Nothobranchius furzeri: one gene and its partners. The protein of the gene in region 1 interacts with the protein of each later gene in a biochemical or structural test. Links are inferred from orthologs where the notes say so. Each region holds a gene or a part of one and is shown on either strand. Other genes may lie near its edges.

Region 1 (7,559 bases):
TTCCAAATATACTTTGTTGTCCGCAACTTCAAAGGGTGTTTTTCTTTTTGAGCCTCTGGTAGTTTGTCCTAAAGTTGAAGTGGTAGCAGCCTGCTGTATCTCCTTCTGTCATATTACTGAGCGGAGAACCTCTCACATCAGTGGTGTTCTGTTGCAAAATGCAGAAAAGCTAAATGAGCGGAGGACCCAAGTAAACGCAGAAGTGTGGCAGTTGGGCGAGACTGACAGAATGCCCAGCTTTTGGTCTGAGTCGCATCATTGCTTGAGGATTTTAGACACATGCGAGAGATTATTCATTTCTTTTTGATTTTTAAAATTTCCTCAAATGATGTATAGCTATAAAATATGAGAATGTTGCTAAAGACATGAAAAAATGTTTAAGCTAGCTGGTTTTGCAGGTTTAAGCTCTAAGAAAGCAGTTCGCTCATAAATACGAAGGTACTCAAGTAGGTTCGCTCCTACTAGCCCCGTCACCAGTGTGGGTAACTGCACCTACATTGTTAGTGACTCATATTCTTGGTATTATAAGTAGAGTGCGAACAGAAAGTGAGCCGTGCAACAACAGAGAGGTTTTAGCTGCATGCCAGCATGCAGCAGCAGCAGCTGCTCGCTCTGGCCTCAAGTCAATTAGCTCCAGTTGCTCAAACGTGACTCCTCGACCGCTTTCAGAATCTGACAGAAGTTTCAACAAGATTATTGTTTTATTGTCGTTGTTCCTGAAATTTCTTATGGATTTCTGCCGTTTTCAAATAAAATGTTACGAGTCCCCATGAAAGACGATCACAGAATTTACTTTTTTTCCATCAGTCGGAGTCGCTTCACAATGATGTTAGACTAAAACAAGATCGGTTCCTCTACATTTCACAAAACTAATTTCAGAGCAACATCTGCCAAAGTACCGTCATTTTGTTTTCATCAAAGAGTTATTTAGTAGTTATGGATTCCCTCCTCAGATCAGTCTTTCATCTTCACAGAGAAACACAACAAAATGACTTTAGTTTTATCTTTCAGGAAATCTAGAGAGGTCCTTCCATAGAATAATTAACATTAAACCCTGCCTAATAAGTGCAAAAATGCACATGAATAATTGTTGTGTTCATTTGATACATTTTGGGTCAAGATATTTCCCAGAGTGTTGGTGCATTCAAGCAGATCTCCCCACCCTTCTGTGTCCTCACACATCAGCTGATGGTGGAGCTCCTGTCACCAGGTTCTCTGACGTGTCCTCCCCAATGGGTGGAAATCAGAGCAACAACAACAAAAACAACCTTCCTGGAGGTGGTGATGGCCCTGGTATCAATTATTGGAACAAAGGAACTGAGCAGTGCTGGCTTTTACAGCAGAACGTTATGAAATCTCAAAAACAGACGAAAACAAATCTATGAAATAAGAAAAGAGTTAAATCATCTTGTTTCATCTTCCTGATTTATTCAGAAAACAAAACATCCAAAACCTCTACGAAAAAGAATTAGTCTTGATGTAGAATTTGTAAAATATGGTATAAAATTCAATAAAGGCTCCTTTTAACATTCATCCAATAAAAATTTAAATAAATGTCCAGTCTTTTGAAAACAAACTAGTCAGCGATTTTTAAACATGAGTTTCTTCTTTTAAAGACCAAGTTCGGGTCTCTAGTAGAAATTAATGCCTTGTGAGTTGATCGCTGTGGGGGAAAAAAAGCTCTGGCGCTCCTGTTTCAGGAAGAAGTGAGGAGAGGAGACAGAGCAAAAGAGGACAGGATTTGTTGTTTTATTTCTGTTTGATTGGTGTCTGACTGGCTAACAGCTACATAACTCTACCTCTGACTGTTTGCTCTGCATTGTTAATGCTTTACACACAAACCACAAACCTAAAGGGCTTCTGCTGTGTGGTGGAGATGCTAATGCTTGGTGGTTGGATTGTCTTGCCTTGACATTGTGTACCAAGATGGGTGAGTCCATGAATGCTAATTTTCAGTGTGACATAGATCTGTCAGGCTTTCTTATCAAAGTGTTTTCCTGTCTGTTTGCTACTGGCGGCAAATGCAGGAAATGGGGTAGGAGACTATTTTCACATTCAGCTTGTATGTTAAACTCAGTTGGACAGATCATATTTAACAAATTACAAGTAAAAATTGGTTTCTTTTTGAACTTGGGCTTTAAACTATTTAATGTTAGCTGGATGTTAAACCAGTCCCAGTAATAATTTACCCATGGGGGAAATGGATAAAATAAGAAATATTACCAAGAATTGGATGCGGTTCTTTGGAAACTGCAGTTTCACATGTCTGTGAACGCATGAGGTGGGACATGTGAAACCGTGAGATTAACACCTTCACAGGAATGCTCTTTCAGATTCATTTCAGTCACTGCAGATGAAATTCTATGTCTCACATTACTGGGCTGGATGTGCTCATGTTCATCGGTCAGTTTGTGGGGGGTTAACAAACCTGGAAACATGATCATGTGTTGAAGCTTTTAACATAACCAGACTTTTCATTAACAAACTCCCCAAAAATCAGTGGATGTTTAGTTTTTTGGCTATTTTCAGAAAACAATGTTTTTGAATGGCATTGTGAATATAAGGCAGCCTTACCTTAAACCGGTTTGTGTTCAGTCAAATTTAAAAAATGAAAAGATGAAACATGTTTAAAAATTTAAAAGAGTTTTCTTCATTCAAGACTTTCAGGAAAAGAGTACAGTTTATGAAATTCTCATCTATGATTCGGATGACGTGTTGCAGATGTTTCTAAAATGCTCTCATATATAAAAATAACAAATAAATAAATAAATCAGACATCAGGTCATCATCCAGAGTCCAGCAGCAGCTGTTTACTGGCAATAAAGACCACGATGATGATGACGGAAAATATTTTTTGTCTGACTCTTGTGTCTCACTTTCCCTCACACACACACACACACACTCACACACACACACACACACACACACACACACACACACACACACACACACACACACACACACACACACACACACACACACATACACATACACACGCACACGCACACACGCACACGCACACGCACACACACGCACACGCACACATGCATACATGCACACATGCATGCCTACATAGAGACAGAGAGAGAGAGAGAAAAGAAAGAAAGAAAGAGAGAGACAGAGAGAGAGTAGAGAGGGAGGGGGGAGAAAGAAAGAAAGAGAGGGGAGAGAGAAATAGAGAGAGGAAAGAAAGAGAGAGAGGGAAATGAAAGAAAAGAGAGATAGAAGAGAAAGAGAGAGAGAGAGAGAGAGAGAGAGCGAGAGAGAGAGAGAGAGAGAGAGAGAGAGAATATTAGATGCCTGTTGAGATTTTGATGTTAGGAAAACAAATGAAGTGCAATGACGTGTTGTGTTCAAGTTGTGTAAAAATTATAATTTTTATAAAGTCCTACTGATCTGAACAAGATTTATAGAAAAAAAAATACAAAAAGTATTCAGGTTTTGCGAGGTTATACGATAGTTTTACCTCAGATGCAGTCTTCCAGGGGTCTCTGCCCTGCTGTGTTATAGTTTGTTTAGTTGTGTTAGTTATTGGAAACCAAAAGGCAATATCATGGCTCCAAAAGAAGACAAATGTTATGGTTCCTTTTTATTGGACAAATGATGTCAGAGACACTTCATGTATGTTTTTCAAGACTTCTAAAACACATTTCATGTTAAATATTTGTGTTGAAAAACATCGAGCATATGACTGAATCAGAGCATTTTACTAATACCGTTTCACATATTTGTGCTGGACTAGGATTAGTGTGTTTCTCGGGTCATTTAGATCAGTACTGAAGATATAAAGTAACTAAACTGTTCTGATGCTGAGACTGCTGTGAGCTCAACTCTATCAGGTCTAGTAAACGCTGAAATCATGTCTGGGTTCTCTGATAAAAGCTCATGAGTACAAATCTTTCCTGTTCCGATCTCATGAAAGAGGAGATTCATTTCAGATGAATCCTGAATCTCAGCGCAGGAGTTCTAAACGCTCATGATTGGATAAGATACGTTTTTTGAGCTGATGAGTCTGGATGTAAAGAGGTTCAGTCTTTTCTTTTTTGTGTGTGATGACGTGTTTGATCCCTCAGAGTTGAACAAGGACTCAACAGCTGACTCTTTGATTTGTGATGATGGACTTGACTGTCGTTTTTATTGCTTCCTCTTTATGTTTCGTCCCCTTTACACACACACTCACACCCGACTGCACCATTGGTCACTTGGGTCGTGGCCCCGCCTCCACACTGACTGCTATATAAACCCGGACCAAGCCAAAGCAGCTGAGGTTACACAGACTGGCCCTTTAAACGCTCTGTCATTTTACTATGTTCTGGTCAGATGAGTTTGAGATTTGCGAGTCGTCCTAGGAGACACTTCATGAGGATTTCCTTCTAAAGTCTGATATCAGAGGAGTGTCACAACAAAAAGACTTTCTGCTGCTGCTTTCAGGGAGTCGTTCAATGGATTTGTCAGATTTTCATTTCCCTCTTTCATCTACTGATGACCTCTATGACCCCTGCTTCAGCACCAGCGACCTGAACTTTTTCGATGATTTGGATGCCCGGCTGTCACACGGCGGCCTGCTGAAGTCAGAGGACCACCTTCATCACCACGTCCCATCATCAGAGGAGGAGGACCAGCATGTGCGGGCCCCTGGAGGCCTCCATCAGGCGGGCCACTGCCTGCTGTGGGCCTGTAAGGCCTGCAAGAGGAAGACAACGCACGCAGATCGGAGGAAAGCAGCCACCATGCGAGAAAGACGGCGGCTCAGCAAAGTCAACGATGCATTTGAAACTTTGAAGCGGTGCACGGCTTCCAATCCAAACCAGCGTCTGCCCAAAGTGGAGATCCTACGGAACGCCATCAGCTACATCGAGTCTCTGCAGGCGCTGCTGCGGGCCGGCCAGAACGACAGCTTCTACCCGCCGCTGGAGCACTACAGCGGGGGGTCGGACTCCCCCGGCACCCACTCCAACTGCTCCGACGGCACGGTGAGTCTGGGAACAGCTGAAGGGTTCATGTGCTGCCCCACGAAATGTAAGGAATGTGACGGGAGATTTATTTTGGGCCACGGTGATTAATCTGGACAAATGCAACCTTTAGCATGGATCCCAGTGGATTTCAAATGTTTTGCACCTAAACAGAAAGTTTGTCAAAATGTTGTCTTTCAGTTACAAAAAAAATCTTTTTTTGTTTTATTACTACAGAATTGACTAATATTAAAGCAAAAGGTGTTATTTGATGCTGAAGTTATTTATTTCAGGCTGAAAACTTTATGTGCTTTACTTGATTTGGGTGGTGGTGAGTATTATCAGCTTACTGTTGATGTGTCATATTTACCAAAATGTTATTTGTCATCTCTAATCCCTGGACCGTTCTTCTGACTTAACGTAACATTTTTATCATTTTCATCATTTCATTGAGCAAGTAGCGCACATTAGAGTACCAGGAGGGGAAATGTTTAACTCTGTGAGAGTTACCGTGGACAAAAACCAACATTGTTGATTTAGTTGTTTTTTTAATCAAATCAAATTCTTCTCTTTCTAAATAATAAACTGAACACCAGTTTTTGTTTTATTTACACATTTAAAAACAACATATTATATATACATATTATATTTAGACATCTCAACTTTATGATGTGGGGTGAGAGCACATCTTTAATAATAATAAAATTAATCTTTTTTTTTTACAGTGCAAGACATGTTCTAAAGAAATCACTAAATTATACTCATTAAATCCAACCAGTGTGTGTGTGTGTAATCACAGAGCTGTTGTTAATCATAAGATTTGTTTTAACTTGAACATATTACTTATTCAAAACAGTGCTAAAAATTAATAATTTTAATGAACTTTTGAACCTGAAATGTCTCTTTTTGTCCATCTCTACGTGTTGTGGGTGTGAGTCTGAGTAAAGCTGAGGTTTTAAACACTCACTGATGATTACGTTTTATTTTCAGGCGGATTTCATCTCACCATGTTCGAGCAGAAGTGAAAACAGCGATTCTTCTTATGTCAGACAAACAGACGGTGAGCTCATTTAGCACGTCTCTATCTACCGGAGTCAAAATGTGTGCATCTGCTACTTTACATTAGATTTCATATTATTAACATTAACAAACAGATCCAAGGGTCAGGACATTTCTTTAGTCTTTTATTTCAAAGATCTCTTCTTAAATAGAACTTCTTTTTTATTTAAACTCTTTTTGCTAATTTCGTATAAAATAGAAACAATTCTGAATTAATTCATTAATTCACATTTTCTTTATTTTTAAAAGTTTTTCATGAATATGTCTAGCTTTAGACACTCTTCTTTGATGTTTTCACTCTATGCTGTCATTTTTTGTTTATTCACATTTTTTAAAGACATATCTTCCCTTTGCCCTCTGAATGCCTTACCAGTAGGTACAGTCCCACAACGATTTTTAAATAGATGTGTGCTTATGAACCATAAACTTTGCATGTTCTTATCTTACAGTTCATGTCATTTTGAGACTCAGACCAACCTTTCAGTTTAAAAATATGAAGACATGAGAATGGATAAAATGAGGAAAGCAATTGCTAATATGGTTTTTATAAATAAATAAATAAATAAATAAATAAATAAATAAATATATATATATATATATATATATATATATATATATATACATATATATATATATATATACATATATATATATATACACATATGGCTGCATGGTGGCGCAGTGGGTAGCACGAAGGTTGCAGGTTCGAAACTCAGCTGCAGCCTTTTTGCGTGGAGTTGCGTGCTCTCCCCATGCATGCGTGGGTTTCCTCCGGGTACTCCGGTTTCCCCCACAGATCACAACATGCCCTATAGGTTATAAATTGTAAGTCGCTTTGGATAAAAGCGTCTGCTAAATGAATAAACATAAACATCAACATAAACACACACACACACACACACACACACATATATATATATATATATATATATATATATATATATATATATATATACATATATATATATATATATACACATATAAGACAAAACAATCGGCCCATATCGGCTGTCCTTAATTAAAGGTTCAAATCCCACTGCCTCCAATTGCCAAACAAATAAGTGACAAAACATGTAAGCATACTTAAGAAAATCTACCTGACATAAACTTTTCTTGAAGTCTAACTCTTTTTGTTTCTTCTCTGCAGACTGCAGCAGCAATAAAACATCGCTCATTTCCAGTTTGGACTGCTTGTCCAGCATTGTAGAGCGCATCAGCACAGACCCAGCTGTGGGCCCCACAGGAGACAGCGTGGTTCCCCGGGGCCCCGGATCACCTCATAACACCCCCACCATCTCCACTACTTCACCCGCTGACCCCAGCAGCATCTATGAGTCGATTTCCACCTGATGACTCATTTTCCTCTGAAACAAACTTCTTATAAATCCCTTCTAGAGGGAAACACAACATTATTCCTGATTGCTGAAGAAAATAACTGAAATACGAACTTGTAGATTGAAATCTTTGTGTTTTTGTTGTGTTTCCCTGAAATTTGAGTTGATTTTTTCAGTTTCCAGCTGATAAAATGAATGCTGCTGTCTGTTTTTT
Region 2 (7,367 bases), on another chromosome or scaffold:
TGACAGCGGTGTAGAAATGCCTCGTTGACTGTGGTGATAGGTTGAATTTCTTCAACTGCCTCAGGAAGTGCATCCTCTGCTGGGCCTTTTTTCTGATGTTGGTGATGGTGGGTTCCCATTTGAGGTCCTGGGTGATGGTGGTGCCCAGGAAGCGACATGAGTCCACCATCGTGATGGGAGTGTCAGACAGGTTTAAGGGGGGGATGGGGTGTGTGTGTTTCCTAAAGTCCACAACAACCTCCGCTGTCTTCTGGGTGTTTAGCACCAGGTTGTTGTGGCTGCACCAGTACACCAGCCGTTCAGCCTCCATTCTGTAAGCGGACTCATCCCCATTAGAGATGAGTCCGATGACGGTGGTGTCGTCAGCAAACTTAATTAGTTTGACAGACTCATGCTTGGAGGTGCAGCTGTTGGTGTACAGGGAGAAGAGCAGAGGGGAAAGAACACAGCCCTGTGGTGAGCCGGTGCTGATGGTCCGTTGGTCCGAGACATTCTTCCCCAGCCTGACTTGTTGTTTCCTGTCTGTCAGGAAGTCAGTGATCCACATGCAGATGGGGTCAGGCACGTTCATCTGGGACATTTTGTCTTGGAGGAGGTCTGGCAGGATTGTGTTGAGTGCAGAGCTGAAGTCCACGAACAATATCCTGGCGTAGGTACCTGGGGAGTCCAGATGCTGCAGGATGAATTGTAGAGCCATGTTGATTGCATCATCTACAGACCTGTTTGGTCTGTATGCAAACTGCAGGGGGTCCAGGAGGGGGGCTGTGAGGGTCTTGAGGTGGGGGAGAACTAGGTGCTCAAATCAAATCAATTTCCCTCTGGGATTAATAAAGTATTTTTGAATTGAATTGAAATGACTTCATGACCACAGATGCAGTCCTTTAGTCCAGTGATTCTTGGTTTCTTGGGGACAGGGACTATGGTGGAGATCTTGAAGCAGGCAGGCACATGAGATTCCTCCAGTAAGGAGTTGAAGATGCTCGTAAACACTGGGGCCAGCTCTTCAGCACAGTGCTTTAGAGTGGCAGGAGCCACGCCATCAGGGCCCGGGGCTTTTCGTGTGTTAAGAGACCTGAACTGCTTCTTTACATCTGCTTCATGAACGAGTAGATTTGTGGTGGAGGTGTGTGATGTGAACACCTCGTGAGTGGGGGGGGGGGGGGGGGGGGGTGATGAAGGTGCTGGTGATGGCTCTGTAACGGGGAGTGGCTGACCAATGAGCTCAGCCAGAAACCAAAGCTCTTATAAGCCATTCTTAATCCCATTCATCACTCATGGTCATGAGCTTTGGGTAATGACCAAAAGACCAAGACCATGAATGCAAGCAACTGAAATGACTTTCATCTGTAGGGTGGCTGATCTCAGCCTTGAGATATGATGCCGAGCTCAGACAACTGAGTAGAGCCACGGCTCCTCCACAGAGAGGAACGAGCTGAGGTGGTCTGGGCATTTCATCAGAATGCCTCCTACAACGTCACAGGCGAGGAATTCCAGGAATGTGATACTGACAGAAGGTTCCCAGGTTAACTAAGTAAATTGTAATTTCTCATCCCTTGTCCGTTTTATCATTTTGGTGTATTTTGCAGTGTATCTGTAAAGTGCTTTGGTCAGCTGTCATGCTGTTTTTAAATGTGCTATGGAAATAAAGCTAGTATGGTATGGATTAGGGATGCGCCAATACCGTTATCGATACCAGGAATCAATGCCAATGCAGTTGCCTGAAAGTGGCTTCACTGTAACTTGTCATTTCTGTTCACCTAATATTTTAGTTTTGTGATCATTTCCATTAATATATTTTATTTTTTAATCTACCTCACACACTTTTCCTGTTGAAAGAAAAGAAAATAAAACCTGTATTCCAATTCATTGCATTTTATTGTGTGGTAGAAGTATCGGTGTAGGCGAGTACTCAGATCCAAGAATCGGTATCGTATCTGTTTGGGAAAAAGTATTGGTGCAACCCTAGTAAGGATCCCACCAGTGGAAATAGCTGGACAGAGGATAATTTGGACCTCTCTTCAATCCCAGCGACCCAAATCTAACTAAGAATAAACTATTTATAAACACTGACCTAAACTATAGTGCTCAGATGCTGATCTTGATTCCTTCACCCTTGAATTTCCTCACGGGACACCACTAACTTTAGAATTTAAAAACACACCTAAACATACTTAAACCATTAAGCTGTTATAATAAATCTGCAAACATGCTAGGTTTCGAACCCAAACACAGTCACAGAACACTCACCCCTTCCCTCGGGTATCTTCCCTGAGACGCAACCTGCGATACCATACCACTTTAATTATAGAGCGCTTTTAACACGGCATTACAACCGACCAAAAGCTGCACATGTTAATGCCGCACGAAACGAGACATGGCCAAACACCAGTAACCGTTTTCTAGGTCCAAACAGCTTTTGTCTGTGACATAAAATGGAGGGTTTTTTTTAGGCTCTGGCAGTTTGTCCAAAAGTTGAAGTGGTAGCAGCCGGCCGTTTCTCCTCCTCTGATACTACTGAGCCGCGAACCTCTCACACCAGCGGTGTTCTGTTGCCAAATATGCGAGTGCGTAACGAATAGAGGCCCCATGGTCGTGCAGGAGTTCAGCGGTTTGGAGACCAACAACTGATGGTTCAATAGTTGCTTCTGGTCCTAAATGTGTTATTTGCTGAGGTTTTTAGACAAATGTGAAAGAACCACTTTATTTATTTATTTCATCTCCACAGTTTCTTTATTTCTTTAACATATCAGAACTTGTTAAGAGGCATGAAAAAAGGTTTTAGACACATTTGTTTGTTTGTTTTAATGTAACTTTAAGTCTGGTGAAACCACATTTACAGTTTCCCCACTCTTCCTTTGATGATGTGTAACAAAGTTAAATGTTGGAAACGTTTAAAGTAAAGATGACTGCTTCTTGGAAGCTGAAACAGGTATTTTACATCAGCAGAGGCTTTAGAGGAGATGATGCGCTAAAGTTTGCGTTGCTGCTTTAGGCTGTAGCCCCGCCCCCTGAGCAAAAGGAAGACAGGCGGAAAAAAAAGTGCGACGAGAGGCCGAAATCAAACCGACTGACTTGGTTTCCCCACATCACAAGCACCCGTGGGCAAAGAGTCTGGGTCTGGACCCGGCCCTGTCCACCTCTGACCCGGTTCTGAACGAGTTAGAGACGTGGCAGGAGAAGAAGCATGCCTCGCTGAAGTGATCTCACCTGCCGCTGAAACACGGAGAGGAGAAACGGGCGAGGTAGGTTCGTGTTTCTGGACTCTCGGATACAGGAAACTACAGCTGGGTCGTGTTGGTCACCTTAACTCTGGACATCTGGAGTTTGGGCTGGACAGATGCGTTAAATAAAAGTTGCAGTCGGTGGTTTGTCCTCCGCCAGCGGCCGTAGTTGTCAGCTATCCCTCCGCCACGTTGGGGCACATGTCTGAGGAGGAGAAACTAGCCGTCGGCCTGCTGTTGCTCCACTTTTCTTTTAGTTTAATCAACAAAGAAGAGTCGTGGAGTAGCACCACGTGTCTGTCCTGGCCTGGACCGGCCTGCTGACTCTGCCCACGGGCCTGCTTCTCCGTGGGTCGGTCTGATAGATCCGTAAAAATGAATGGAGGTCAGCTTCTGTTGATCATTTAATTACTGATTTGCTGTTATCGGTATGCTGCCAGTTCAATTAAACTCCCAGCTGGGCTGAAGCTGGTCAGATGTTATTGAAAGAAGGGGAAACATAAATGTTTAAATTAAAGGTGCAACATGGAAGAAGGAAGTAGGAATGACATCCTATGGTCAAAATTGGTTACTGCAGCCCATTTTCAAGACACACTGGTCTGGTATGGCGTCGTCACATCTGGCCTGTAGAGCCCTGCACGGGCCTAAAATCTGAGCCCGTGTCCGGCCCGTGGAGCCCCAGCCCGACCCGGTCCGAAAAGGTTTTCAGGATTCTCTGGCCTGAGCCCAATTTTGTTTTTTAACCTTTCATAATGTTTTAGCGTGATAGAATGCTCAGCATTCTAATTATCTGTGAGAAGCATTCTGCAGTAAAAAAAATAAATAAATAAAAAGAAAAGAACAAAAAAACAGCATTCAATGCAGCTTTTTTTTCTAACAGAGCGTATTTTTTGAGCGGCAGATGAAATTTACGAACACTATATTAATTGGATGCGTTTGTAAATTTAATCTGCTCTGAAAATGCGCCCTTGTGCAATTAGAAAAAAAAGCAGCATTCTAATTTTCTAACTGCAGAGCGCATTTTCAGAGCGGCAGATTAAATAAACACCCCCAATTAATATAGTGTTTGTAAATTTAATCTGCCGCTCTGAAAATGCGCTCGCCAGTTAGAAAAAACAACAACAATGAATGCTGTATTTTTTTAACTGCAGAGCGAATTTATTCACAGAAAAATAGAATGCTGTCATTTTCTTGAGAATAAACAAATGGTTTCTGACATATCAAAGTGGACATAAAATGGCATATTAGAATAGGGGCACATGTTTCAGTCAGCCGTTTATATAGGCGCATTAATAAACCACACAGACCTTAACTGAGCTAACGGTGCCGGTGCGTGAGAAGCAGGCAGGTGCTGCTGCATTCAAGTGTTTCAATTTTTTTTATGAATTTGATTAAAAATAAAGGCGCCTGGCCCGGCCCGTGTCCGAGGTAATTACGCAGTCGTTGGCCCGAAGCCCGGCCCTCGGGCCGTCGGACCGGGCCGACCTGAGGGCCTAGGGCTTCATTGCAGGGCTCTACTGGCCTGGTCCGGTCTCGGTAGAGTCGGCCCACCCCTGCATGGCCAGTTTTTGTTCACATAGCCTTCTCAGAGCGAATGCCTCAGAGCACGTGGGCCAGGTGGGTGTTTTACTCACGTTGGTAAGCAAAAGTAGCCGTGAGCAGTGATATGAAGCACACCGTTTCCTACTCTCACGCCGATACTGCTGCGTGCTCCTCACAGCAGTCTGTCTGACCAGCAGTCAGAGATGTTTACAAATATGGGAAGCCTCTGCTGGCTAATTCTACCAACCAATCAGAGGCTCCCTCTATAGGTAGGTGTGAACTTCAGCTGGCCAATCAGTCGTATTTGGTGTGTTGGCTCAGTTTTCCATGAAATAGACTACTGGGGAGAAGCTCCAAAAAAAAAAAGCTGAGCATGGAAAACGACTACCCAGATGTGCCTATCAAGATGTGAAAGCCCAATTGCTCAGGGTCAGAGTTCACCCTAACCCATTCTCCTGCCAGAGAAAGAATGCTGCTGTTGTGTATTTACTTAAACCACCTCTCCTGCTGGTGGTGGTTGGAGGAACTGGTGGCGCCTAGACTCAGCAGCCCCTCCTGTCAGTAGCTACGTTGATTTTACAGACGTTGCGCTACAATTTCAGGTGTTGGCGCTCTTTTGCTCCGCCCACATGCTTATAGATGCGCTCATGACATCACAGGCCCCAGACCGCCTATGTTCTCAATCACATCTATATTCTCAAGGCAGTGTGGGACGAACACAGCCAGGCTGGGGTGGGCGGAGTGGAGTGGAGCTGATGCTAGTGTGTAAGTGGCACAAGTCCAACAGGTGGCAGCCCACCACACTGAAGTTGCAAGTGCGGTATTGACCCTGTGCACGTGACGTCACGCCACTCATGTGACCGCCCCCTTCACCATGATGGACGGCAAAAAGACCGTTTACACCCGTAGAAACTCCAGTGAAGCTAGTCAAAACAAGCCAGTTTGTAGCCTTTTATAGCTTTTATTTAGTTGATTCGACAGTAAAATGGTTTTAGCTTGCTGCGTGGTCGGCTGCACTAACAGACAAGGATGTAAAGTCAACTTGTTTTGTTTTTTTATTAACTTTGATGGAGACTGAGGACGGAGATGAACTGCAGCGATCAATCAAGCGGACTAGCAGGTCTCAGATTTGCAGCGAACATGTTTTTACCGGGTAAGATTAACGTTCATTTATTTGACGAGGAAGACGGGGACAGGGGTAAATGTGATGTGTTTATACAAGTTATTGATAATCCTGATGGACGGGTATTTCACCACGGAGGCTGCGCTCCGTCCACTGTAGTGTAAAGCGAGACGATTATTAACAATATTAAAGCTCCGATGTATGATTACGTGTGTTAAAATTACGTTATTTATTTATATGAGCGTCGGCGTTCAGAGATCTTCTCATTCCGGTGTGAAAGCAGCAGCTGAACCCGGTAACACCACCAGCAACAGAAGCTGGTAGGGATCCGGACTTTTTAAAAATCAGCTTTGGTGTAAAGTGAAACGCTGTTTATAACATAATTTTATAAATCCAGAGGGGTGAATTTAGGCAAAGTCAGCAACATGTTTACATCGGTGAACAGCTGCAGAGAGAACGTAAGCTAACGTTGGTAAGCTTGTTAACACACCGCTCTCTATGAGCCCCCGCTAGATGCGCTACTTCTTCTGATAACTGAACTGGGCCTGAACTAGTTGAAGGAATGCTGGAGGAGTTTTGTTTTTGTTTTGATCGCTAAAACAATTTCAGGCTCTACTTTTCCCTTTGTTTTGTAATCGTGTCGCTCACTGTTTACATGCTTTTGCCGTCCACGTGATTAGGTGGCGTCGGTGCAAAGGGTCAATTCTTGCCAGAGGGGGCAGTGGGGGTCTGAGTGACATTTAATGAACCTTGTAAAGGGTCTTTTAGCACATACTGGCTCAAGAAAATAATTTAAAAATATGATAAAGTTGCATAGTATCCTAACAAAGATCCACCTGTAAAAAGATTGTGAACTATCATACACCGTGATTTAGTATTCTTGTCATTAATAATAAAACAAAAATCGGCTAAAAAAACACAACATGTTTTACTTTGTTTACTTTGAAAAATACTGGATGCAACTTGCTGAAACAAGGCTCACTTCCTGTCTGGCTCCTGTCATTTATTTAACTTCATGACACTCTGCATGCAGTGTGCAGAAGAAAAAAAAAACGCCATGCAGAAACTTTCAGGAGCTCCACATCTGGACCGCACCACAGCCAGTGTGAACGTTCTGATTGGGCTCAATGATTTTTGGACTTTAAGGAAACTGGACCGTATCCGTTCATCCTTCGGTGTGAATGAGGCTTCACTGACTTGCAAGAATCTTCTTACATGTTTAATCTCATCTGTTTGTAACAAATATCTGTAAAGATGATCCAGACGGGACACAGTTGATCTGATTTGACTTTTATAGATGCATTAAGACATCCTGTGATCAGAATGGCCACTATTGAGCATGATCAGCTCCACCAGTGACTTGTCTATAAATACATCCCTGCCAAGCAGCAACCTGACGGCTAATAATCTCAACACTTGTCCTGGTCTGTGAATCCACCGTCACTAAATGCTACGTAAAGCTAGCAATAACAGAGCTGTGG
Region 3 (7,386 bases), about 140 kb from region 1:
CACCAGCGCCTTCCCAAGTCCGCTGACTCTGCAGCAGAGAGAGATGGTGTTCATCAAACCCGTGTCTCCGATGGCTGTTCAGCACACGGTGCCGGCGCAGTCTGTGACCCTGATCAGTGTGCAGCAGGTACGAGTCAGTACAAGCATCTAGTGGGCGCTTCCTGACTGTTTCATTAATCTGTTTCAGTCCATCCAATCATTTCTTTACTAACCGTTAATAGCAAAGCTCTCTCTCTCGCTCTCTCTCTCTTTCTCTCTCTGTCTCTCTTTCTCTCGCTCTGTCTGTCTTTCTCTCTGTCTGTCTCTCTCTGTCTCTTTCTCTCTCTCTCTCTCTTTCTCTCTCTCTGTCTCTTTCTCTCTCTCTTTCTCTCTCTCTCTCTCTTTCTCTCTGTCTCTTTCTCTCTGTCTCTCCCTCTGTCTGTCTGTCTCTCTCTCTGTCTCTTTCTCTCTCTGTCTCTCTCTCTCTCTCTTTCTCTCTCTGTCTCTCTTTATGTCTGCCTGTCTCTCTCTTTGTCTCTCTCTGTCTCTCTCTCTTTCTCTCTCTGTCTCTTTCTCTCTCTGTCTCTTTCTCTCTGTCTCTGTCTCTCTTTCTCTGTCTGTCTCTTTCTCTCTGTCTCTTTCTCTCTCTCTCTCTCTCTTTCTCTCTCTCTGTCTGTCTTTCTCTCTGTCTGTCTCTCTCTTTGTCTCTCTCTGTCTCTTTCTCTCTGTCTCTCCCTCTGTCTGTCTGTCTCTCTCTCTGTCTCTTTCTCTCTCTCTCTCTCTCTCTTTCTCTCTCTCTGTCTCTTTCTCTCTGTCTCTCCCTCTGTCTGTCTGTCTCTCTCTCTGTCTCTTTCTCTCTCTCTCTCTCTCTCTTTCTCTCTCTCTGTCTCTTTCTCTCTGTCTCTCCCTCTGTCTGTCTGTCTCTCTCTCTGTCTCTTTCTCTCTCTGTCTCTCTTTATGTCTGCCTGTCTCTCTCTTTCTCTCTCTCTGTCTCTCTCTCTGTCTCTCTCTCTCTCGTCCCCATAGTGAATCAGTAGTAGACGTACACACAGATGCTGGTTTGTGTATAATCATATTATAAGGTGGACTTTAAATCTGTTGTTTGTTTTTAATTTGTCGTCCAGTCTCTGATGACCACCCCTAAAGGGAGCGGGCTCCCCCAGCACAGCTTCTTTCACACGCCGGTCCCCCTCTCGCCTCTGGCTGCCGTGGTAACCAACAATGGACACCAAGCTACCAAAGCTGTTAACATCCCCCAGAGGAAGCTGGACGTGTCCCCTGATGACTCCTGATCTGTAGAGGGGTGGGGCTTGTTCTTAGTGGTGAATGGGTGTGTTTTTGTTACTCTGGTCTGTTTAACAGTTTCCAGTATTCATGAGCTCTGAAACATTTCCCAGCATCCTGATGGAGGTGGTTGTTATCACAGCCATCTCTGACTTTGGCTCAGGACCAGAGGCATTATGGGAAATGGCACGAACGCTACTATAGCGCTCTGTGCGATCCGATGGATTTCCCAGGCCTCGATTAGCCTCTAGTGTTTGCACAAGATGTTTTTTATGGTCTGGATGACACAAAAGTATTTTCCTCACAGGATCAGTTAAAGCTGCGTCATCGCTTTAGTGAATGCGAGATCACTTTTGCACACGTGTACATGTTGATGCCACCCTTGAACTAAATAGTTAAACATATGTGAATATTTCATGCATTCTGGGAATATAAGTTGACATGTGATGGGTTTAATTTATAAGAGTGATTCTGTGTGATCTCCTGCTCTTTGTTAAATGTTGAATAAATTTTAATGGGATTTTTCTAAGAACATCAGATCTCTTGTTCTTTATCGGGGGCGTGTTTTATTTTAACACCCATAGTTCCCACAGCCGTGGGTACTGCAGGTGTAAGTGTATATTTACTTGATAGTTCTGACTTTCTAATGTAATTTAGAATACAATCATTCCTACTTTTGATATCTCCCTCAGCCTGAACCTAAACCTAGTAACGGCAACAACTACCATTAGTATTTGTGAAAACTGGTGACGAGTCTCGCGTCACCGTGGAGAACTTTAGTCCCACGCTGCTTTAGAGAACTGTTTCAGTGCGTTTACATGCAGCCAGTAAGCCTTTTAAAACACGAATATTCACAATCGGACACGTTGAGGGGGTTTCCATCAAGAACGTCCTGTTTAGGGTCAAAGGTCAGACATTCTCCTTCAGGTAGAGAGCAGAATTCATTGTTCTGTCAGTCAGCAGGTGGTCCAGGTCCTGAAAGAGACCCAGACCACCACACCACCACCTCCGTGTATGCAGTGCTAGTTTTACAGCAGTACAGGACACTTCCTGGAGATCATCAGGAGGTTTTCTGGCAAAAGTGAGACAAGTCAGCATCATATCTTCCATGGAACCATTTTCTGCTGCCTTTTTCTTACTGTTGAGTCATGACCGCTGACCTTAACTTCAACTGTGTGAGGCCTGCTTTTCTCCAGATGTTCTTGCGGGTTCTTTGTTCTTGAATCTCATCAGTACAGAGCGTCACATTTGAGATCTTTTAGCCTACCTCATGATGTCAGACGGCTTGTTGAATTGATTGATTTTTGCAGGTCTGGGTTTCACTGGTGAGATGGAGGTCAGCATTCCAAATAATCACAGTTAGTCTGAGATTTAAACTTACAACCTGGTTGGTTCTGAGCCCTTTTCCTCATAATTTAAATGATTAGAAAACAGTGTTTAGTATTTATTCAGGTTACCTTTTTTGTTGATCTGATGCATTTAAATGTGACATTGATTCTATTTTTTATCAATCTTCACATTTTGTACCAACAAAAACAAGCAGCTTGACCCTGAATCCGAACGGCTGTTGTCTCACCTGATGCAGATATCTATGAACAACAGCTTTCTTTAGACGTTTCATGCGTCCAAAGTAATATCTGTTTCTTGGTGCTCAGACCTGCTGTGTCGATTCCAGAACAATCCTGTCAGACCGCACACCGATGCTTTGTGCTGCAGCTGTCAGAGGAATGAGTCTAGAACAAATGCTGGAGCGTCTGATGTTCTGGTCTCTTTCAGCTGATGATAAAGGGTCAAAGGACTCTGACAGTTATTTTTGGAGGAGGCGTCACCGTGATGATGAGGAGGAGGAGATGAAGAGTATTTAAACCATCTAGGAGAGTTATCCGTTGCTTTAGAAGGGAGGTGCACACGACTGGACTCGAGGTGAGACCCTTTAGTTGTTAAAGCTGTGAAATGTCTTGATTCTTATTGGCTGAAGACATTTAGTTTTAGCTGTCATGCCTTTTTTCCCCCAAATGTCACATGCCAGTCCTGTGAGGTATGCTCGGATAGGAGCGGGGACTGGAATGTGACACAGGCCAGTGAGGTTTACACCCACTTCTTCAGTTTTAGGTGATCAGTCATCAGGAATGAAATGGGAAATCTTTTGGTCTTCTGTGATTTATTACTGCAATACATGGAAGTTAAAGCCACAAAATTAGTAAGATGTGGGCCAAGTTTACAGTATTTGATATCTTTCGAATGGAAAATAATTCTAGATAAATCTAGATCTTGTGACTCTTTAAACCTTCAATCAAAAATGTTCCACGGTTTTATGAAATAGTGAAAAAAACTCATTTTACTAAACTGGCGTGTTTGTCAGAGTAACAGAAACATGAATAACAGGAATAATCATTTGACCTCCAGCCCTGTGTTCTGAAGAGGAAACCACGAGTCCACGTGGATCTGTACGATGCCGACTTGGGGAGGAGGATCCAGGTGTTCAGCCTGCGAGAAGACGGTGTACCACGCAGAGGAGGTCCAGTGTAACGGACGCAGTTTCCACAAGACCTGTTTCATCTGCAGTGAGCATCCTGGTTCCTTCTGCTGGGCCCACCGAGACCTCCTGGTGGAGGAGAAACCTGGGTCTAGCCTGTGCTTTAATTATGTCATTCCTTATTGCCCGCTCCTTTCCCCTGAGAGTGTCTCTGAGCACAGATCCAGATGTATCTCTTACCTTTTGCTCTTTAGATTATTTTTGTTCTTTTAGGACATTGGACGTTAAGCTCTCCTCCAAACTGGCTAAATATTTGAATTTCTGCTGCTGCATCCTGTAATGCAGCTTCAGATCTTTTAGTCATATAATCCAGACTCCCACCAGCGCTGCAGGAACCGACCTGCTGACCCCACTCTGCAGCTTGTTGCAGTCTGTGCGGTGGATACTTTGTTCCAGTGGGAGCTCTGTGATAAACTCATCCCACCTGCTAAGAGTTCATCTTCTCTCCAACATTCCCTTCACACATCCATCTCCTTCCACAAATAGCAACACAGCCATGTGACTTAGTGCTGACTGATAAAAGCAGCTAGGTGGGAGCTTTATTTAACCTTCATCCCTCCAACAGGACATTCCTCAGTTTGGCCAAACTGGAGACATTTAATTTAAACTGGTTTTACATAAATTATTGTTTGATTTTCCTTTAGTGAGCTGCAGGAAAGGGCTCGACAGCACTACGGTTGCAGCACACGAGTCTGAGATTTACTGCAAGTCATGCTATGGCAAGAAATATGGGCCAAAAGGCTATGGATATGGACAAGGAGCGGGAGCTCTGAGTTCTGATCCTCCTGGACAGGATGCAGACCCACAGTCTCATGAGTACGTGTTTGAGAAGGCCGCCTAGTCAAGGACTCATTCCTCTAGACAGCCCAACATACACAAATGACACATCAAAGCACATTTTGACATCCCTTCATTTTGAATTTATAAACAAACTTTTTAGGTCTAAACCTCGATCGGCCTCTTCAAACCCCAACAAGTTCTCCCAGAAGTTTGGAGGCTCAGACCGCTGCCCTCGCTGCTCCAAGGCTGTCTACGCAGCAGAGAAGGTGATGGGAGCAGGAAAGGTAACAGCCATCCCTCTCTGAACATGTTGGTGTACGCACTTGTGATAAACTCTGGTGTCACTGCCAAACTTCCTTAAAGAGTTCACATCACCTCTGTTTTAGCAGCTCTACACTGGCTCCCAGTTCCCTGGGGTCCACGGCCCTCATTTATCAAACATTCATTGAGACGGTCTTATATTCAAAATAAATGTAGAACGTATGAATGGCGGCCTTTCGTATGTTCCTCCTCAATCGTCTGATGATAAATCCCACCTGTGTCATATAAATGCCCTCAATTAACCTTATTTGGTCTTGCTAAGTCTTCAGCACCTGAGGGAATTCCCTGGGCACCCCCCCCCCCCCCCCCAAATAAAAACATTGACAGCGAGATCGAGACACTGGCTGCCAAAGTGCAAAAGAACCAAACAAGTCGCACAGGTTGTAAACGCGACTGGGACAGAGGAGAGTCTCCGTCAGGAATAAATAAAAAGTTGAATATGATAAATCGTAGAGTAACGGGCTGTCATTTACATGTTACATTTAAGGAGTTGTTCTGTTTGGAGTTAGTTAAATTTGGAAATGTCGTCTGAGTGCAGCCTCTTCTGAGCTTTCATTCAGTCGGGTTACCTTGACTACGTGGCGTGTGTGATTGGGAAGTAGAGAGGCTCTCGTAGTTGTAAAATACAATATGAACTGGAATCACATCTGAGCAGTTTCTCTGTCGCGCCACAAAGGGTCTCAAATCCTAGCATAGCTCTAAGGATGTCCTTCGGGGAGATCAGTGCGCTCACGGAGGACGCCTTCCCTCGAGTGCACGCTCTGCCAAATCCTCCAACACACAACAGCCAAGATATAATGTCCGATTCCCGTCGGTCACGTGTGTCTTTTATTGGTTTTAGCACCAATTGTGCAAAAAAGCTGTTTTTCCACCGACATTATTTATTGGGTAAAATACTTTATGGATGAGGAACGTGTGTGGACAACAGAGACCTTTAGATGCTGTTCGTATGCAGGTCAGAACTGTTCTTATATTTAGGAACATTACTATGCACGAGTACAAATCGGTAAATACCACACGTGTGTAATAATCGTTCCTACGCACAAAATACGTACAGATCTGTTAGTGACTGATAAAGGAGGGTCTCCACTTTTAGATCATTAACAGTCAAGACACCTGATTATACCATCTATACATCCACAACCCAGGACACTCTCAGATCTTCAGGCCAGTGGCTACTGGTGGTGCCCTGAACTAGGTTAGGACCAGAGTTGATCAGGCCTTTCAGGGAGTGGCCCCCTCACTGTGGAACGTTTTACCACCGACCCTGCGCTCTCTAACCAATGTCGAGTCTTTTTATTGATCCTGTTGACTTTGATTTTAATTTTGTGTAGCTTTGTTTTTGCTTCTACATTTTATGTGTTTTATTTATTTTATGGTAAGTTTTGATTGTACTTCTATTAATCTTTCTGCTTTAACGCCTTATAAGTTTGTGTTTAATATTTACATCGTGTGTGTTTCAGGCCTGGCACAAGACCTGTTTCCGCTGTGCGCTGTGTGGTAAAAGCCTGGAGTCGACCACGGTGACGGACAAGGACGGGGAGCTTTACTGTAAAGGTACAAACAACCTGGTGAACACGCGGGTTTCTAATGACTGAGGTTGTTGGGCTGGGACCACAGCCGCAGCTGTTGATGTTTTACATTCTTCTCTAGTTTGCTACGCCAAACACTTTGGTCCGAAAGGATTTGGGCTGGGGAACGCAGCCATGTTGGAGGAACGGGAGTGAGGACGTCTGACTCAAACCCATTAATGGGAGCCGAGACTTCACCTTTGACCCCGGAGGATGTCAGTTACTTTAAATCTTGTTTTAAAATGACCACATGGGGAAAAAAAAACACAGAATAAAATCCATTTGTTACAACAAAAATACATTCTGAAGTGTTTTCTAGAAAGGTGCAAAATGACATAAACCTTGCTTTATTCCGTGTGGAAAGATTATGATAAGTGATCCATACTTACATGTTTCATTGTAAGAGGCTTTACACAGGGCAACATTCATCCATTCACACACACGCTGATGGAGATGAGCTACATTGTAGCCACAACTGGACACTCAGACATAAGTGCAGCTGCTGGTCCCTCTGACCACCATCAACAGGTAAAGGGGGTTAAGTGTCTTGCCCGAGGACACAACACAGCCCACTCTTCCTCCTGAGCTACTGCTGAACTCAATACTCTCAATAGAAATAAGTAAAGTCTTCTCTTAACTTTGATTATTAAAGAGCGACAATAAAAATGATTAGGAGAGATGTGTGTAAAAGCAGACAGGCACAAGATTGTTTTATTGAAGTATTATAGTGGTCATTTGTTATTAAACACATGCAGCTTTTACAAAAGTCATAAAACAAAGTGTTCACATGTACAAATATTCTCATTTTCCTCAAACCAGGTGATTAAAAACTTCCATCAACACCTTCGGTCCTCAAAGGTTCTGATTCCCTTTAGCTGGTCGAGTTTAAAGGCCATAGCAGTTTGTACAGAGATC

What was found. The genes of interacting proteins can lie anywhere in the genome.
Region 2: the proteins of myod1 (region 1) and cdk4 form a complex in vitro, tested with the Homo sapiens proteins (2 studies listed by BioGRID). The link is inferred for Nothobranchius furzeri from reciprocal best matches to the Homo sapiens genes MYOD1 and CDK4.
Region 3: the proteins of myod1 (region 1) and csrp3 form a complex in vitro, tested with the Homo sapiens proteins (2 studies listed by BioGRID and IntAct, with this or other methods). The link is inferred for Nothobranchius furzeri from reciprocal best matches to the Homo sapiens genes MYOD1 and CSRP3.

Annotation. Positions count from the first base shown.
Region 1 is NC_091749.1:52,555,204-52,562,762, forward strand, and holds the start of myod1 (myoblast determination protein 1 homolog), read left to right. Parts: upstream 1-3,367; 5' UTR 3,368-4,442; coding exon 4,443-4,973; intron 4,974-5,942; coding exon 5,943-6,012; intron 6,013-7,158; coding exon 7,159-7,361; 3' UTR 7,362-7,559. UniProt on the Homo sapiens protein: Acts as a transcriptional activator that promotes transcription of muscle-specific target genes and plays a role in muscle differentiation. Together with MYF5 and MYOG, co-occupies muscle-specific gene promoter core region during myogenesis.
Region 2 is NC_091743.1:49,228,553-49,235,919, forward strand, and holds the start of cdk4 (cyclin-dependent kinase 4), read left to right. Parts: upstream 1-3,031; 5' UTR 3,032-3,242; intron 3,243-7,367.
Region 3 is NC_091749.1:52,411,356-52,418,741, reverse strand, and holds csrp3 (cysteine and glycine-rich protein 3), read left to right. Parts: upstream 1-3,050; 5' UTR 3,051-3,186; intron 3,187-3,669; 5' UTR 3,670-3,715; coding exon 3,716-3,827; intron 3,828-4,443; coding exon 4,444-4,615; intron 4,616-4,739; coding exon 4,740-4,863; intron 4,864-6,363; coding exon 6,364-6,457; intron 6,458-6,553; coding exon 6,554-6,627; 3' UTR 6,628-6,768; downstream 6,769-7,386. Other genes in the region: transcription factor E2F8, read left to right, coding at 1-127, 1,104-1,271. UniProt on the Homo sapiens protein: Positive regulator of myogenesis. Acts as a cofactor for myogenic bHLH transcription factors such as MYOD1, and probably MYOG and MYF6.